Caenorhabditis elegans: one gene and its partners. The protein of the gene in region 2 purifies or fractionates together with the protein of the main gene of each other region. This does not show direct contact. Each region holds a gene or a part of one and is shown on either strand. Other genes may lie near its edges. The genes, in order: M04F3.4, wars-1 and lars-1.

What was found.
Region 1: the proteins of wars-1 (region 2) and M04F3.4 fractionate together in Caenorhabditis elegans (co-fractionation; one large-scale study listed by BioGRID). This does not show direct contact.
Region 3: the proteins of wars-1 (region 2) and lars-1 fractionate together in Caenorhabditis elegans (co-fractionation; one large-scale study listed by BioGRID). This does not show direct contact.

Annotation. Positions count from the first base shown.
Region 1 is NC_003279.8:4,770,771-4,774,953, forward strand, and holds M04F3.4 (EF-hand domain-containing protein), read right to left. Parts: upstream 2,301-4,183; 5' UTR 2,255-2,300; coding exon 2,199-2,254; intron 1,606-2,198; coding exon 1,464-1,605; intron 1,416-1,463; coding exon 1,307-1,415; intron 1,238-1,306; coding exon 1,108-1,237; intron 912-1,107; coding exon 834-911; coding exon of another isoform or gene 830-833; exon of another isoform or gene 720-829; coding exon 716-719; 3' UTR 578-715; downstream 1-577. Other genes in the region: rpa-2 (Replication protein A C-terminal domain-containing protein), read left to right, coding at 36-496; M04F3.5 (IMD domain-containing protein), read right to left, coding at 3,288-3,538, 4,153-4,183.
Region 2 is NC_003283.11:18,853,165-18,861,176, reverse strand, and holds the start of wars-1 (Tryptophan--tRNA ligase, cytoplasmic), read left to right. Parts: upstream 1-1,955; 5' UTR 1,956-1,972; coding exon 1,973-2,132; intron 2,133-3,100; coding exon 3,101-3,408; intron 3,409-4,609; coding exon 4,610-5,095; intron 5,096-7,426; coding exon 7,427-7,726; 3' UTR 7,727-8,012. Other genes in the region: emb-4 (Intron-binding protein aquarius), read left to right, coding at 279-427.
Region 3 is NC_003281.10:4,181,008-4,188,691, reverse strand, and holds lars-1 (Leucine--tRNA ligase), read left to right. Parts: upstream 1-1,890; 5' UTR 1,891-1,907; coding exon 1,908-2,020; intron 2,021-2,070; coding exon 2,071-2,542; intron 2,543-3,000; coding exon 3,001-4,086; intron 4,087-4,511; coding exon 4,512-5,423; intron 5,424-5,692; coding exon 5,693-6,322; intron 6,323-6,579; coding exon 6,580-6,712; intron 6,713-6,765; coding exon 6,766-6,980; 3' UTR 6,981-7,143; downstream 7,144-7,684. Other genes in the region: R74.2 (FIP (Fungus-Induced Protein) Related), read right to left, coding at 1-329, 378-437; putative mitochondrial carrier C16C10.1, read left to right, coding at 7,260-7,323, 7,642-7,684.

The DNA of each region.
Region 1 (4,183 bases), on a different chromosome or scaffold from region 2:
CCTTCAATTATATATCTTAATTCAAATAATTTCAGCCATTATGCTGTTCAACATCACTCCAGTTGAAGACGACAAGGATTTCACGATCTTCGAGCTCGAGGCAGAAGCTGCACGTCTGTTCTTCCAAAAGAACGTGAGCGAGAAACTGAAGTCGGTCGACTCGGATGGCTTCCAAGGAATGCTGGCACCACCGAAGAGCAGAATGTCACAAACATCGCATCAAAGCTCGCAAGGATCGGACACCAAGGAGAGATTGTATGCTCAACCGCAAAAAGTGATGACGGGAGCGAACCAAGGAGATGTGCTCAGAGAGCGCATTACCGCCGTCTTGATGGCTGTGCCAGAGGGTTCTCGTGACGAAGGTCGACATGTTTCGTGGATAGCTGAGCAAATTCAAGAAACGAACATTTCTATTGTTCGTAAGTGCGTCGGTGAGATGGTCGAGAACGGATTGGTCTACACCACTGTCGACGAGGAAACTGTTTCCGCTATTTAACTGCTGATTGTAACATTATTTTCATTATCCTTCTTTCATCCCACTGGGAAATTCACTTTTGATACTCGAAACTATGAATGATTCATACTTTAAAAGCGTTTATTAGTAAATTTGAACATAATTAATTAGACGCTAATGATGCGAAGAATCCGAGGAGGAAAGAGAGCATGAGGAACGGCAAATCACATTATTAACCCAGACGATTGAACACACTTCGAGCTACCTGAAAACAAAACGAAATTGAATTTAACTTTTTTTCGAATGGAAGCTAGTAGAAGTGCTAGGTGTTAGGTCGAAAATGGATTGTGGTTGGTTCTCTAAATACTCTTAAAATCACATTTTCAATGAAAAGACCATTGTCAGGAACTGCTCGTAGCCGACGGTGATGACTCCATCGCGGTCCGTGTCGACGTCTCTGAAAATTAAGTAATCAGATTGTAAAGTATGATACTCCAAATTTTTTGGTCAAAAATTACTATAGAAACATAGAAAATAGTTAGTTCCATCTAAAAATATTTTTAAAGTAATATTTAATTTTGTTGAAAAATTTTGAATTTTTTAAAAGAGCTTTTCTCTAAATTTCTAAATCAATTTTAGCCCTGATTTCTAACCTGAAGGCAGCAGTGAGGGTCTGAAGAACGACGCAAAGTTGGATAAAATCGTCGAAATTGATTCGATTACTGTGGGATCTGTCGAATTTGTGCATAAGGATGTTGTAGAATTGTGGAGAGAGACGGTATCCTGAAGAAATATATGATCAGTCATCGAGTTTCCGATTTTCTTATCGCTTTTCTATGATTAAAAACTAACCAAATTGTGTGAGAGCATTGGTCAGCTCACTCTTATCAATATTTCCCGAACCATCGGTATCAAAACCACGGAAACAGTTTGTCCAGTCGTTGATATATCTCCACAGAGCCTGAAAATATGATTATTTTCACAAATTCTGGTTTATATTTTTTCAAACCTGGAATTCTTGAAAATTGATTGCGCCGTCTCCATTCGAGTCGAACATTCCGATCATTAAACGGCAAGTTTCCGGATTGAATGGGTTCCATGTTCCGTTGGAGAGAGCAGTTTGAAGCTCATCGGAACTGATTTGCCCTGATCTGAAAACTGGGAAATTTTGTTTAATTTTTAAATATTATGTAAATAATAAATAAAATTTTAAATATTAAATATTAAATAAAAAAATATAAATAAAAATTTTAAATTTATAAATGTTTGTTTTTGCGATTCTTGGCTCTTGAAAAAATACAAAAATTATATTCTGCGCATAAAATACGGTAACCAGTCTCGAAACGACAAGTTCTGGTTTTTGTTAAAAGATACGCGCCTTTGAAGAGTACTATAGCTTCAAAGTTCATCGATTTTTCATATTTTTTCTCGTGATTTTATACAAATTTGAGCGTTTCATTTTTTTTAAACATAAATATATTTTGTATCAAAAAATTATGAAAAATCGATAAAAATTCCGCAGCAATAAAAGTTTGAAACTACAGTGCTCTTTAAAGGGACACACATTTTTCCAAAAACAGAAATTTGTCGTGTCGAGACCGGGTACAGCGAAATTTTTTTTTGTTTTTTTATTCATAATTTTGACAATAAATTTTCAACGAGAAACATATTTATTGATTTTATTTACTCCAATTTTAAAATTGTTATATCAATTTAACTATTAAAACTATTAATAAAAACATACCGATCCTTGTCGACAGAAGAGAAGATTTGTTGCAAGTTAGGTTGTTGAAAAGCCATCTAAAAATGGATAAAATCTGTGTGAATTGGTAAAATAAAAATAAAATGAAATGAGAGAAGAATGTGAAGTACTCAAAAGAGACGCAGACGGTGAGACAACAACAAAATGTGTGCGGTGATGATGCATCGATGTGGGCGGAGCCCAGAAACACTGTTGAGTAGTGACGTCACATTATCCGTGGTGAGTCATTCACTCTCTTCAGGGGGATGGGAAAATGATGAATATTGTGAAATAAGGTGATGAAAAAGTGAATGTTAACAGTTGAGATGTACGAAAATAGTTAGGAAGTTTTCGTAATATTTTGAAAAACATCGAATATTTCTAGTTGGAGAATCTCAAAGGGGCTGGAATATAACTCTGATCATGAAAAAACTATGAAAAATCGAAACAATTCCAGTTTGAAATTACAGTCCTCTTTAAAGGTGCACACAGTTTTTCGCTAAAATTTTAATTTAATTAAAAATATATTTATTTACTAAAAAATTCAGCATAACATAATAAAAACATAACACACAAGCTTTAGATAAAAATAAATGAAAATACCACAGCAACGAAGTTTTCAACCTACAGTAATCTTTAAAGGCGCAGTCCCATTTATGTTTACCAAAACTTGTCGTGTCGAGACCTGGTACCGTAGTTTTGTGGTAAAAAAATGCAAAAAATATAGTAATTTTTTTCCTAAAATAAACTTTTCTCTTTTTTCGACTTTTCAAAATGTTTGGAATAATTATTTGCCTGTCCAAATAAACTTTCTGAAAAATAAAACATATTTTGGATGAATAACGCATTAAAAAAAACAAAAATCGTTTATCTTTTTCGTCAGAAAGAACAATTGGGATCCCAAATTGAGGGAGAACATGCTTTTTATATACAGTACGAATGTTATTCTACATTTTAAAAGGAAAAGGAATAAAATAAACATAGAAAAAAGAGATAGAAAATGCCCGTTTTGGTATCAAACATAGTATTTTTGCAATTCAAAAGACTCCGAATAAAATAAGAAAAAAAAAACTAAATAAATTTAAAATCTATTTAAATTCGAAATTTTGCTGCTGCTGCAGTCGCTGAAGCTTGACCATTCACATTATTCGATCGATTGAAAGATGACATTTGATAGAATTGTTGTGGATGTGCTGGATCGTAAAGTCCAGCCGAATCCAGAGATTGACGGCTTCCCATAGTTGATCCATTCATTCGTTGCTCGGCAACTGAAGGAGCGGTCGGGGTGGCTGCAGTGATTTGGGATGTACGGCGGGCTGGTGGTGGTGGTCGAGATGCGGATGCTGAAAATTTTTTAATTCTGACTGGAAATTGATGGTGTAGATTTAGGAATTTTTATGAAAATCGAAAAACTAAAAAAAATAATTTTTTTTAGTTTTTCGAGAAATCAAAAAATAAAAATAAAATTTTTTTTGAATTATTTTTTGGAAATACATATAAGAAATATAGATTCATAAAAAATGTTGAATTTGATAAGAAAAAGATGTTTCGGCTTTTTAAAAATTTTGTTTAATAATTTCCAGTTTTTTTTTTGAAGAAATTTATTCTTTAAAAAATTAAAATCAGCATATTTTCAATATCCCGTTTTTTCTCGTCTTTTCCGTACAATTTTCTCAAATTTTTAGATTTTCAAAAAATCGAAAGTTTGGTTTTTTTCAATTTTTTGGAGTCATCATTGATTTTAACTTTTTTTTAAATACGGATTCAGATTTAAGTTAAATTTTTTTTCATTTGGAAATACCGAAAAAATTGAGAAAAAATTTATAAATTTTGGAAAGTAAAAAATCTCTTTGTTTGAATTTCTTCCATTGAAAAATCACATTTTTTGTTTTTTCAAATTATAGCGGTTTTTTTCAATTCAAAATTATCAAATGAATTTAAAAAACTGAAAACGCACTAGTTCTCATGCGAACTTGTTGATTTTGCAT
Region 2 (8,012 bases):
TGCGAAATTTTGACACCCATATCGGCTAGGTTCTGAAATGTTGAGTTTTCAGGCCCGGAAATAGGCCATTCTAGGCCGAAAAATGTACATTTTAGTGCTGCATATATACTATAATTATAATTATAAATCGCATTTTCGCTGAAATTTTACCTCTGAAAATTGGAAATTTCCAAAAAAAATCCATTTTTTTCGCAAAAAATGCCACAAAAGTAGCAAAAACTTTGATTTTTTTCGAAAAAAAAAATCTCTGAAAAACCTAAGTTTTCCGATATTTTCAGCTATGGAAAGAAAGAAAAAGCAGGAAATGGACGATAAAAAGGAAGCGGACATTCATTTCGAGGATATGGATCATGAAATGCAAGAACCTGCTGCTACTGCAGCACCGGCTCCAGGAGCTCCAGCAGTTGAAGAGCCACCACCGAAATAGATGGAAAATTCAGCAAATTTGGCCCAAAATCGATTTTTCTGCAATTTTCCATCATTTTTATGTTAAAATTCAGAAAATTTGGCTTTTTCTGTATTTTTCAGAATTTTCACCCGAAATTTGGCCAAAAATTGAATTTTTACTGTAATTTTCTATATTTTTCAGAATTTTCTCTCCTAAAATCCCCTGAAAATCGATTTTTCTGCAATTTTCCATCATCATTTTTTATGTTAAAATTCAGAAAATTTGGCTTTTTCTGTATTTTTCAGAATTTTCACCCGAATTTTGGCTAAAATTGAATTTTCCTACGATTTTTGTGTTAATTTATCCATTTTAATTTATTTTTTTGTTAACTCTCATCAAATTATGATCTTTTTTAAAAACTTTTTTCTAAAAATTTATTTTGTTGACTGATCCCCCCACCACATTTTTTTTTGACTGCAAATATATACATTTTCTGTGGAAATTTTGTGATTTTTTTTGCGATTTTTTGTGTTTTTTATCACAATTTTTACCTATTCTTTTCTTATTTTTGAGATTTTTTTTGCAGGAAAAATTTGAAAAAAAATCAAATTAAAATTCGTTTTTTGTCTGAAAAACGCAAAAAATTGAAATTTCTTCCAAAAATTTTGATTTTAATCAGAATTTATTATATTTTACCGTGAAAATTCCCTGAAAATGCGAATTTTTGCCGGAAAAATTCATCGTTTTTTCGGCTAGAAATTCCAATTTTGAGCGAAAAATTAAAATTCTACCGAAAATCGAATTTTATTAATTCAATAATTTCAATTTTTGTCGCTCTAAAATTTTACATAAAAATCCTCAAAATTTAATAAAAACTCAGATTTTTTCTGAAAATTTACTAAAAAATCATTATAAAATCGCGCAATTTCGGTTAAAATTTATTTAAAAAAACGTTTTTTTTTCAGAAATTTGGTGAAAATTTTGTCACAAATTAGATTTTTCGAGTAAATAACATAAAATTTGAATTTTCCTAAAATTTGCATAGAGATCCTTTAAAAATCACACATTGTTTGGAGCAAATTTCGTGAAAATTTGGTTTTTTTTCAGGAAAATTTTTTTTTTTTAAATCCAGTTTTTTCCAGAAATTTCCAGACACAACACTGAAAAAAATACAATTAAATCCGAAAAAACGCCTAAAAAATTGGATTTTTTGCTGAAAAACGCCTAAATTTCTTCCAAAAATTCGATATTGATCAGAAATTATTCATTTTTGCCCGAAAATTGCCAATTTTTACTAAAAATCCATATTTTCGCCTAGAAATGTAAATTTTGAAAATTTATTTTTAAATTCGATAATTTCAATTTTTGTCCCTAAAATTTTGCATAAAAATTTGATTTTTCGACAAATTTTATATTTTTTCTGAAAATTTGTAGAAAAATGGCTTTAAAAATGTGAAATTTTATGGAAAATTTTCGATTTTTTCACACAAAATTCTCAGATTTTTCTGGTTTTTATTCAATTTTTGTAAAAAGCTTCGTAAAATTCACCCCAATTTATTTTTTTCAGGGTTCAACACAGCAAAAATGGCAGCTCCAGCCGAACAAGTTGCGGCGGAAATTGAAAATTTAAAAGTGAACGGAGGAGCCGCCGGAGGAGGAGTTCAGGAAGATGAAGAAGATCGGGTTACACCATGGGAGGTTACCACTACAAAAGCCACTGGAATCGATTATGATAAGCTTATTGGTACGGAGAAGAAAATTGGTGGCTGAAAAACACGGAGAAAATCCAGATAAATGAGCCTAAACCCCCAAGAAAATTGGCTAAAATCGAATTTTTTTTTTGTAAAAAAAAGTGTTTCCACTGAATTTCGTGTGATTTTTCCCATCAAAATTCGCATTCTCCATGAAATTTGCGAAATTTTGACACCCATATTGACTGGGTTCTGAAAATTTGAAATTTCAGGCCGAAATAGGCCGATTTCAGTGCCGTTTTGGGCTTGAAAAGTATAAATTGTAGATTTCGAGAACCTTATTCCATAAATATACTAACTTGTTACATATTGACTAAAATCTAAAAAATTATAGATATTTTTGGCCCAGAATGGCCTATTTCGGCCTGAAATTTTAAATTTTCAGAACCTAGCCGATATGGGTGTCAAATTTCCGCAAATTTCAAGGAGAATTCGAATTTTGTTGGGAAAAAACACGAAAATCTCAAAATTTAGTAATTTCTCTTCAAAAATTTGCATTTTTTTGACTTTTTCACCATTTGTCCCGACAATTGCGGGGACATGGGACACACCATATAATTTTTCAGTAAAATTTTCGAAATCTCCATACAATTTCCGAAAGTTTGACACCCAAATTGACTGGGTTCTGAGAAATTAGAGTTTCAGGCCGAAATAGGCCGATTTCAGGGCTGTTTTGGGCCGAGGTGCATAAATTCTCCGAACCCAGTCAATATTTGTTCTAGATATTTGCAAGAACAATATATTTCGTCCAAATTCCGAATTATGTAACCTAAGGCCTAAAATAGCCTGAAATCGGCCTATTTCGGCCTGTAATTTCCAATTTTCAGAACCTAGCCGATATGGGTGTCAAAATTTCGGAAATTTCATGGAGAATTCAAATTTTCCATATTTGAACTGAAATTTTCGCTAAAAATTCACCAATTTTTACAGTTTTTACACCAAAATTTCTCAATTTTTCCAGTGAAATTCGGTTGCCGGAAGCTCGACGAGGAGATAATTGCCCGTTTCGAACGTGTTACCGGACACAAAGCCTCCCCAATGCTCCGCCGTGGAATGTTCTTTGCTCATCGTGATTTGACGGCAATTTTGGATCGAAAAGAGCAGGGAAAACCATTCTACCTGTACACAGGCCGCGGAGCATCGTCTGGAAGCCTACATTTGGGCCATTTAGTCCCATTTATCTTCACAAAATGGCTTCAGGAGGTGTTCGATGTGCCACTTGTCATTCAAATGACTGATGACGAGAAATTCTTGTGGAAAGATATGAAGGTAGCCGAGCTTTTTTTTTTTGGCTGAAAATTCGAAATTTTTCCCGGATTTTCGTAATTTTTCATGTGAAAATTCGAATTCTCCATGAAATTTCCGAAGTTTTGACACCCATATCGGCTAGGTTCTGAAACATTGAATTTTCAGGCCGAAATAGGCCGATTTCGGGCCTTTTCGGGCCCAAAAGTGTATGTTTTCAGAATCGAGTCGATATTTACTATGGCTTGAAACACATTAACTATACATTGAAAACTTCAATTTTTGGGCCCAGAACGGCCTGAAATCGGCCTATTTCGGCCTGGAAACTTAAAGTTTTCAGAACCCAGTCAATATGGGTGTCAAAATTTTGGAAATTGCATGAAGATTTCGAATTTTCATATAACAAGTTACTAAAAACACGAGAATCCCAAAATTTTAGTAATCTTTTTTTTCAGACCGAAAAAGGCCGAGTTTAGGCTTTTTCAGGCCCAATTTTCAAAATTTTCAGAACCTACACGAAAAACATTTTAAAGTTTGATTTTAAAAATATGTGTCCACTATATTCCAAAAAATTATATTTTTGAGCCCATAACGGCCTGAAATTGGCCTATTTCGGCCTGGAAACTCAATTTTTCAGAACATAGTCAATATGGGTGCCAAAATTTCGGAAATTTCATGGAGAATTTGAAAACATTACTCAAAAATCACGTGGAGTGTCCCATGTCTCCGCAATTGTCGGGACACATTTAAAAAAAGTCAAAAAAATCATATTTTTGAGAAAAAATTACTAAATTTTAAGATTTTTCCTTTTAAAATTCGAATTCTCCCCAAAAAATTTGCGAAAATTTGACACACCCATAACGACTAGGTTCTGACAGTTTAAATTTTCAGGCCGAAATAGGCCAATGTGGGCCCAGAAAAATATACATTTTTAGATTTTCGCCAATTTATATCAAATTAGTGCCACTTATAGAATGCACATAGGCTAGGTTTTTCAAAATGTACAAATTTAGGCCCGAAACGGCCCAGAATCGGCCTATATCGGCCTGAACTTTCCAATTCTCAGAACCTAGTCAATATGGGTGTTAAAATTTCGGAAATTTCATAGCGAATTTGAAAACATTACTGAAAAATTACGTGGAGTGTCTGTCCCATGTCCCCGCAATTGTCGGGACACAAATTTTTTGAAGTCTAAAAAATGTTCATTTTTTCATTCAAATTTCAGGTCGACGAGGCGAAAAAAATGGCCCGTGAAAACATGAAAGACATCATTTCCGTCGGTTTTGATCCGACAAAAACCTTCATTTTCAACAATTTCGACTACATGTGCCCACCGTTCTACGAGAATATCGTCAAAATCTGGAAAGTCGTCAATACGAATCAGGCCCGAGCGATTTTCGGCTTCACCCCCGAGGATTGTCTCGGAAAAGCGGCTTTTCCGGCTGTCGAAGCGGCTCCGTGCTTTGCTTCATCATTTCCACAAATTTTCGGAAAACGAAACGATATTCCATGTCTGATCCCGTGTGCCATCGACCAGGACCCATTTTTCCGTATGACACGTGACGTGGCTCCAAGATTGAAGGCCTCTAAGCCATCTTTAATCTTTTCCACATTCCTACCGGCTCTTACGGGAGCACAGACGAAGATGAGCGCTTCTGAGCCGAATACGTGTATCTTTTTGAGTGATACGGCGAAACAGATTAAGAATAAGGTGATTAGCAGCGAAAATTGAGTTTTTTCTTGAAAAAACGACCGAAAAATGAGTTTTTTCATGAAAAAACGAACGAAAATTGAGTTTTTTCGTGAAAAAACCACCGAAAATTGAGTTTTCTCACGGAAAAACGAACGAAAATTTTGTTTTTTCATGAAAAAACGACGGAAAATTGAGTTTTTTCATGAAAAAACGACCGAAAATTAGACAAATCCCTCCAAAATTGAAAATTTGCGAAAAAACGAATGCAATTTTAGATTCCTGGCGTTTTCGTAATTTTTCTTTTAAAATATCGAATTCTCCACGAAATTTGCGAAATTTTGACCCCCATATCGACTTGGTTTTGAAATTTTGTAATTTCAGGCCGAAATAGGCCATTGTGGGCCGAAAATCGTACATTTTTGTCAATATATATCAACCAAGTAGATTTATGGAAGATATACAGGCTCGGTTCTGAAACGGCCTGACATAGTTTTTTTTTCGAAAATTTGTGAAATTTTGGTGGCCTGAAACGGCCCGAAAATTCAAAATTTTTTGAAAATTGCCCATTTCGTCAAGAAATTCAAATTCTCCGCAACCTTCGTGTTTTTCTGAGCCTCAAAAAGTTTCTGGGCCTAAACAGCCCGGAAACGGCCTGAAATTTCGGACAAAGAATTTTCCTTGAAATTTAAAAAAAATTTAAAAACGATTAATTATGTTTAACATAGACTCAGGTTTTGAAGTTTTAAATTTCCAGACCGAAATAGGCAGAGCTTAAGCCTTTTCAGGCCTAAAATTCAAAATTTTCGAGAACTTACACGAAACAAATTTCTCATATTCGATTAAAAAAATATGCGTTCACTAGATTCCAAAAAAAAAAAATATTTTTTGAGCCCATAACGGTCTGTAAACGGCCTATTTCGGCCTGGAAACTCAATTTTTGGAAAAAAAACATTTAAAAAACGTACCAGAAACTCCTGAAGTACAATTTTACTGGAAAATAACGTGTTTTTTTTTCGAAATGAGCATAGTCGTTATCATTAGGCGGTCGAAATAAGTGAAAAATGATGATTTTGATGGAAAAATGAGTTTTCTCTGAAAAATAATCACTTAATGATGATAAATGATGAATTATTTTGTACTTCTTATCATCATATTTTTCTTTTCTTTTGGAATAGATATAAATTGTAGTTTGTATGATTTTTGATTCCATCACGTAGTATAAAAACTAAAATTTGTTGGAAAATTGATGCAATATGAGGCAAAATTGGTTGAAAGGTCGGCCTAAATCGGCCTAAAAAGAGCTGACAACACCGTTTTAAGTTTTCACATTTTCTGTGAATTTTGCGTGTTTTTCATGTCGAAATTCGAATTCTCCTTGAAATTTGCGGAAATTTGACACCCATATCGGCTAGATTCGGTGAGCCCGAATTTTCAGGCCGAAATAGGCCGATTTTAGACCACTTTGGGCCCTAGAATATACAATTTTGGAATTTGGTCAAAATATGTTGTGCTTGCAAATATGTAGGCTAAATATTGGTTAGGTTATGAGAATTCACACGCTTCGGCCCAAAACGGCCCAGAATCGGCATAATTCGGCTTGGAAACTCAATGTTTCAGAACATAGTCAATATGGGTGTCAAAATTTTGGAAATTTCATGGAGATTTCGAAAATAGCACTTAAAAAAATACGAGAAGTGTCCCATGTCCCCACACTTGTCGGGACAAATTTTAAAAAAGTCCAAAAAATTCAAATTAAAAAAAAAATTACTAAATTTTGCGATTCTTTGGATTTTCATAATTTTTCCTCATGAAATCCGAATTCTCCATGAAATTTACGAAATTTTGACACCCATGTCGACTAGGTTCTGAAAATTTGAAAATTCAGGCCGAAATAGGCCATTCTCGGCCTAAAAATATACATTTCTAGATTTTGGTATATATATCTACTCACTAGATTTATGGAATATAAATAGCCTATATTTTGGAAATGTATAGTTTTGTTCTCAAAACAGCCTAAAATCGGCCTAAATAGGCCCATTTTCGGCCCAAAAACATATTTTTTAGAATCATGGCAATTTATATTGATCTCATTAAAGTAATCAAAATGTAAGAAATGAATGCTTAATAATTTTTATTATTGGGTCTAAAGCGGCCTAAAATCGGCCTATTTCGACCTGAAATTTCCAATTCTCAGAACATAGTCAATATGGGTGTCAAAATTCCGCAAATTTCATGGGGATTTCGAAAATCTCACTGAAAAATTATTTGGAGTGTCCCATGTCCCCGCAATTGTCGGGACAACTTTTTAAAAAGTTCGAAAAAAAAATTTCAATTTTTTGTCCTTTTCAGATCAACAAATACGCATTTTCGGGGGGTCAACAAACTGTGCAAGAGCATCGCGAAAAAGGTGGCAACTGTGACGTGGATATCTCATATCAATTCCTTCGTTTCTTCCTCGACGACGACGAGAAGCTGGCCGAAATCCGAGAGAATTACACGAAAGGAGAAATGCTTTCGGGTGAATTGAAGGCCCTTGCCACACAAAAAGTACAGGAAATTGTACTGGAAATGCAGGAGCGACGCAAGCTGGTCACCGATGAGACTGTCGAAGAATTTGTCAAAGTTCGGCCATTGGCCTATAAATATTAGGCCGTTTAGGCTCAGGCTTAGGCCCAATTGTTGAGATTTTCCTTTTTTTTTTTACTCGTTGTTGGTGTTTTTTCTTATTTAATTTTTTGCTTAAAATTTAGTTTCCCCCGTTTTTTCCAGAATTTTTGGATTTTTTAGCCTTAAAATTTGACCTTTTTCAAAAAATTTCGGTTTTTTTGAAATTTTTGGCCTAAAAATTGGATTTTCAACCAGAGTATCAGAAAAGTTCCCAAAAAATTTGAATTTCCGCTGAAAAATCGAGTTTTCCGCTACAATTTTGGCCTTT
Region 3 (7,684 bases), on a different chromosome or scaffold from region 2:
TAACGGTAGGTTGCGAATGTGTACTGTGGTGGATATACATATGTCATTCCTGGACGAAGAAGATATCTTCTTGGAAGCCTATCCCATGGGTAATGCTGGAAGAAATACCCTCTTCTATAGGCGACAACTGGCCTCTTTGTGGTAGTTTGAACGGGATTCTGATTGCGTCCAATCGGATTTGGGTTCAAAAGTGGTGCACGAGTTGGAATATCGAATTTCGGTGCGATTGTTGAGTAGGTTACTTGTTTCAAATTATGGTTGGCACCAGCATTCTTGACCGGTTGAGATGAAAAATCAGAATAATCGTCACCAACATTATCCTGTCTTGCCTAAAAATTATCCATATTCGTAGGTACGAATTGTCCAAAGTAACTCACCTTTCTTTCAGCCAACGTGACCCCACAAATCGCCGCTAGAAAAATAATAGATCTCCTCATCTAGAAGTGTGTAAGATTGTTAAAATCGGTCAATCTCCATCGTCGTTAAATACTCCCAAAATCGGGTTGACTAGAAGTGTAACAAAACCTTCAAATAGCTGGACATCATCTGCCTCAAACAGATCTGGTTCTTGGCATATCGGGTAAAATTATATAAGTTTGTTGCGTAGTGATATACAACAAGGTGAGAAAGTGATGAAGACGACGGACGTCCATGGTTGCGCAATAAGTGAAATTAGAACTGGAAATTTTCGGAGATAAGGAATGTTTTTTTTTGTATATTGCGAATTAGGATATATCATGTTTTGCCTGGGTTAATCAGTAGTATCACTATGAAAATATATGATCTATTGTGTACCTTCTATTAAGAAGATGTTTAAATTTTTTGGTATTAAAATTTTGGTTAAAAAACAATTAAAAATTGGGAGAATTTCAGAAGATTTATGGAAACATATTTAGTTAAATATGGCTATTTTACTAAAATCTAGATTTCGGAACATTCTGCTTTGAGAAATTTAGATGAATTAATACAAATCGAGTCAAGTTCGTCCAGCGAAGAACCTATCTCAAGTCACTATTAAAGTCTGTCAGCCGGTATTTATAGCAAGGAGAAAGTGATGTTGAGTGTAATCCCACTTGTTGTAATCTGACCAATGTGTGTGTCCAACTTGATAAATTGGCCTTCATTGGATATGGAAAAGGAATAATTTTATGAACTAAGTATATTTTGCAAAATTCCATTCAAAAGTAGAAACCGTACTTGATTCGTTAAGAGCAAAACGGAGCATTTACGAATTTAATTCCAAGTAATATGGTGCAGTGTGACCTATTCCTGAAATCAGTCGAATATGAAATATTGCAAAAATTCCTTTTCAATATGTTTCATGTTGTAGCAGTTGTAGAATTTTTATATACCAAAAAATTTAAAGATAATTAAATTTATTATAAACTATTTTAATGTACCTTTAGCCTGTTATAGATTACTAATAATTGTAGAAAAAATCCAATTTCTGTTGTTGCTCCGAAAAAATCACTAATTGTATTTCTATAAATTGGTAAATTATTGTTCGAGAACTCGAAAAGTACATTTTTCTTCATTTTTTATAATATTGTATTATTTTATCGCCTTCTCCGAGTGATTGAAACCCCTATGAAAAGTTGGGAAAGTTGACGTGGCCGCGGTCGATGCCATTGCAAAACTAGGCCATGATAATGCAGGATTTTTAGAACGGTAGAAAATGGGCCTATTTTAAGTTGTTCCCTTTAAAATTTGAACTTTTTTATCGACAATTAAATCTCAATATCGATTTTTTTCCACAAACTTGTTTGCTTTCTAATCACTTATTGATTTTTTTCAAATAGAAACCAAGTAAATTTCATCATTTTGTGTTTTCTGATGTAATCTATTGCTTAAAAGAATTTTTTAAAGGTTTTAATTATTTTTAAATATCAGGGTAACAAATATCGACAATGTCGAAAATCAATAAGGAGCGGAAGAAGGTTGCTCAACTTCAAGAAATTGAAAAGAGCATTCAGGAGCTGTGGGAGAGCAAGAAGGCTTTCGAGGCGGATGCTAGGGATGAGTGAGTTTTTTCTGAAAATTTTGAATTATTTTCAATTTAAAAAATTTCAGTGGAAAACCAAAGTACCTCGTCACGTTTCCCTTCCCATACATGAATGGACGTCTTCATTTGGGACACACATTCTCAGCTTCAAAATGTGAATTTGCCGCCGGTTTCCAACGTCTTCAAGGCAAAGAAGTGCTCTTTCCATTCGGATTTCATTGTACTGGAATGCCAATTAAAGCATGTGCAGATAAATTGAAAAGAGAAATGCAAGATTTCGGATATCCACCAAATTTCCCGGAAGATGTTGTCGAGGAAGTTAAAGAAGAAGTTTCGGCTGTCGATGAGATTATCAAGGATAAGAGTAAAGGAAAGAAGAGTAAATTGGTGGCAAAAACTGGAAATGCAAAATACCAATGGCAAATTATGAAGTCTCTGGGATTGTGTGATGAGGAAATTAAGGAATTCTCGGATCCAAATCATTGGCTATATTATTTCCCACCACATTGCATTGCTGATCTTAAGAAAATGGGACTAAAGGTAAGATTTAAAGTGTTGAAATCATCTTAAAGTGTTGAAAGTGAGTTCTGTAAAAATAGTACTAAATTATTATGTTTTTCCAATATTTTTGATTAAAATTTAGTGATAGAATTTGGAAAAAAAACATTTGATTTATCTGAAAATAGTTTTTATTTTAGTGATTAAAAGTTGAAAATAACCTGTAAAAAAATTTCGATAATTGGTCGGTTTTTACCGGCGATTTTTTTGGCACTTTTCCAATTTTTCAACCTTAATCAAAGCTATTTTCAGATAAATGAAATATTTTTCTATATTATATCCCTGAATTGTATTTAATGAATATTGGAACAAAATGCCTTACTTCCTCATTTTTGCTTCTCCATTTTAATAATAATATAATTCTCAAAAAAATTTAACTTATCACAAAATTAAAAAAGAAACATTTCGAAATTATTAAATTAAAAATTGCCATTTTTCAGGCTGATTGGCGTCGTTCCTTCATCACCACCGACGTGAATCCATACTTCGACTCATTCGTCCGTTGGCAGTTCAACCTTCTTCGTGCAGCTAAGAAGATCGATTTCGGAAAGAGATATACAATTTATTCACCGAAAGACGGTCAACCATGCATGGATCACGATCGTGCCAGTGGAGAAGGTGTTGGTCCACAAGAATATACTCTTATTAAACTGAAAGTTCTTGATCCAAAACCTCAAGCTTTGAGCCATATCAAAGAGGATATTTATCTCGTTGCGGCTACTTTGAGACCTGAAACAATGTACGGACAAACGAATTGTTATCTCCATCCAGATATTCAATATTCCGTGTTTTATGCGACGGAAAACGAGAAACAAGTATTTGTGGCAACTGCCAGATCTGCTAGAATCATGTCATATCAAGGATTGACTAAGGAAAATGGTAAAGTCAACTATGTCCTGGGACTCGAGAAAATCGCTGGAAGCAAGATTCTCGGAGCTCCACTCTCTGCGCCTCTCGCAAAATACGAAAGAGTTTATGCATTGCCAATGTTGACTATCAAGGATGATAAGGGAACTGGTGTTGTTACAAGTGTACCATCAGACTCTCCAGATGATTTTGCAGCTTTGTCGGATCTCAAGAAGAAGAAGCCATTGAGAGAAAAATATGGATTGACTGATGAGATGGTTCTTCCATTCGAACCAGTTCCAATTATTAAAATCGAAGGACTTGGGGATTTGGCTGCAGTTGAAATGTGCTCAAGGCTGAAAATTGAGTCTCAAAATGAGAAGGACAAACTGGAAGAGGCGAAGAAAGAAGTTTATTTGAAAGGATTCTACGATGGAGTTATGCTCGTCGGAAAGTATGCTGGAAAGAAGACAGCCGACGTCAAGAAAGTTATTCAAGATGATTTGACAGCTGAAGGTCTTGCCACGAAATATGTGGAGCCTGAGAAGAAGGTGATGAGCAGATCTGGAGATGAGTGCGTCGTTGCGTTGTGTGATCAATGGTATTTGAATTATGGAGAGGCTGAATGGAAGGCTGCTGCAAAGAAGGTTCTTGAGCCACTCAGAACTTTCAATGATGAGGTATATTTTTTTAAATTATTTTTGAAAAAATATTATGTAGACGTCTAAAAATAAGAATCTTCGCCATCTCTTACGCGCAGAGGTCTTGCCACGCAGACAACGAGTTACTGTAACTTGCCGATCAAAGGGTTTTTTATTGCAGCATATTCTCTAAATAAAACCACAATTTTATCTAAAAATCGAAAAAATTTGTTCAAAGAATATCATAGTTTACAAATTACTCCAACTCTACGGACGATTTTTTTAAAACCCTTTTTGTTGAAATTGGAGTTTAATTTAAAGAATATGACGCAATAACGGCCCATTAGACAACAGAAGTTACAGTAATTCGTTGCCTGCGTCCTCTGCGCGTAAGATATGTCGAAAATTCTCATTTTTAGATGTCTATGTAGTATATTCTTATTCCGCTGAATTAAAATTTTCAGACCCGCCGTGGATTGGAAACCACAGTCGATTGGCTCCACGAGTATGCTTGCTCCAGAAGTTACGGTCTTGGAACCAAACTTCCATGGGATACTCAATACCTCATCGAATCTCTGTCAGACTCTACAATCTACAATGCTTATTATACAGTTGCTCATCTTCTCCAACAGGGAGCTTTTGATGGATCAGTCGTCGGACCTGCTGGAATTAAAGCTGATCAGATGACAGATGCTTCGTGGAGTTATGTATTCCTCGGAGAAATTTACGATTCGAAAACCATGCCGGTTGAGGAGGAAAAGCTTAAATCATTGAGGAAAGAATTCATGTATTGGTATCCAATTGATATGAGAGCATCTGGAAAAGATCTTATCGGAAATCATTTGACATATCTTCTGTTCAATCATGCTGCAATCTGGCCAACAGACACTTCAAAATGGCCAAAAGGAATTCGGGCCAATGGACATTTGCTCTTGAACAATGAGAAAATGTCGAAATCCACTGGAAACTTTATGACATTGGAAGAAGCCATCGAAAAGTTCAGCGCAGATGGTATGAGATTGAGTCTTGCCGATGCTGGGGATGGTTTGGAAGATGCTAACTTTGTGTACGCAATGGCAGATGCAGCTATTCTGAGACTATTCACTATGATCGAATGGATCAAGGAAATGATTGAACAACGGGATGCCGGACTTCTCCGAAAAGATGCAAAGAAATTCGCTGATCGAGTTTTTGCAAATGAAATGAATTCACTGATCGCTGCCACAGAACAAAATTATGAAGCTACCAACTTCAAGGATGCACTGAAAACTGGATTCTTCGAATATCAAGCCATTAGAGATACATACAGAGAACTTTGCGCTGGAATTGATGAGCCAATGAGCGAATCGCTTGTCTTTAGATTCATTGAAACTCAGGTATATTTTCAGAAAGATTTTTTTCTCAAGATGACAGATACCGATTATTAGTGTAAAAATTGAAAGAATTGTTTCAAATTCTGCAACAAAAATTCTAGAAAAACGAGAAAAAAAACAAATCAGTATTGCCGTATATTAAAAAAGTTTAGGAAATTTCTATAAATTTCTTAAAATCTATTTTCGTTCGATTAAGACTGATTTCTGTCATTTGGGGCAAAAAAAAAACGCCAGACGACACCTTTAAAAGTTTAATTTGTTTTTTATTTTAGATGCTCATCCTATCACCAATCTGCCCACATATTGCTGAATACATCTGGCAATTGCTCGGAAAAGACGGCTTGATTGTAAATGCTCCATGGCCAACTGTCGATCCTGTCGATGAGAAGCTCGCCATTGGTGCTCGTTTCATCACGGAATCGCTGGCCGAATTCCGTGCCCGACTGAAAACCTACATGACTCCAAAGAAGAAGGCACTGAAGGAGATTCCAGAAGTTCCAACTGAAGCAGTGATCTATGTTGCTAAAGAATATCCACCATGGCAGAAGACTATTCTTGATATTCTTGAGAAACAAGCCAAGGCTAATAATGGAGCACTTCCAGATAATAAAGCAATCAGTCAGCTCATTGGAAAAGAAGAATCACTCAAGAAATTCGCCAAAAAAGCGATGCCATTCGTTCAAATGATCAAGGAAAGATTCGAACAGAAGGGTGTTTCAGCATTGGCTTCTTCTAGTCCAGTTGATCAAACTTCAATTCTCAACGAGAATATTGATTTTATTATGAACGCTTTGGATTTGGATCGTGTTACTATTCGACATACTGATGAGGAGGGAATTGATGCGAATATTGTTGAGACTACAGTACCGCTGGTGCCAATGTTGAATTTCACGCCGAATAGAGTAAGGAAACATATTATAGGGGCATGGGAACATGCTCCGCCTTCTAACCATGGGTCTCGTTAGGTATTTGGCGGCAAAACCGTAAATTCAAACATTTTAAATTCGTCTCTGCAGTTTTCAAGCACGCCAAATACCTTACGAGACCCAACTGTAGGAGGCGGGGCGTTGTCAATCGGCAGTGGAGCGCATTTCCATATCAATTTCAAGAGGGGAATTTTTCTGCGTACCAATAATAATGACATCATAATTATTTTCAGCCAACAATCAAACTTGTCGCCAGAAATGTTCAAATCTGCAATGCAATGTTCGATGTTGATGTACCAATTGTTAATGGAGACAGTGTTTCAATGGTTATTCGGAAGATGAGACGCATCAGCAAGGCAATCAAACGTATGAGAAAACCCTATTCCGAAAACAATAAATTCAATTTATTATATTTTCAGCGAAATTCGAAGTGAGCCTCTGGAGATACAAGAACGCGGTTTGGGGAGATCGACAGATGATTTCGTACAGAAATCCATTCGAGGAGAACATTCAATTGTCCGACGCAGACATTTTCAATTTCGAGGCTGATAACAAGATTTCTGTGACTTCTGGAAGTGAAAAGTTCGATCTTGGGCGTACTATTGTGTACAAGGCTAACGTCCCAGAAAACTAGATTCTTTCTAAAAAATTATTTGTTCTTCTTGTTTCTAATAATATTATATCCCCACTTTTTGAGTTTTGTTGTTTCTATTCATTTTCATAATTTATACGTACCCGAATCCCTATTTCAGCTTTCACTGTTTTCTCCCTGTTTCCAAGTTGAATGAAAAGGTTTTTTTGTTATTATACTAGATTTTTGAAAACTGTGATTTGTTATCTAAGTATTTCAAACCTAATATTTTAAATGTGATTTTCTATTTTTTATCGGAAGTTTCCGTATTTCCAGTAACAGATGCCGTCACCATGTGAAAGCGGTAAAACGACAAATTGCTCCGGAGCACCTTCCTCGTCTTGTGGTGAATATTTTGATTATTACTCATTCGGGAAAATATGGGATTTTTATCGCAAAATTATGGTATCGGGTCTCGACACGATCGAATTACTTCCAAATGAAAAGTGGGTAACACATTGTTTTCTCGAGATTTTAAAGTCTACTAATTATTATTCATGTGACATCAAAATCTGGAAGGAGTGAGGCTACAGTACCTCATTTGAAAATATTTCGATCGTGTACAAACAAAAACAAAAATAAATTACTATACTTTTGCGTTAAAAAACTAAATTTTTCGAAGAAAATATCTGGAATAAAATATAACGAACAAAAATCTTTTCAGCGAAATCAGTAGAATGCTGCAAGAAGCAACTATCCGTTGGAGT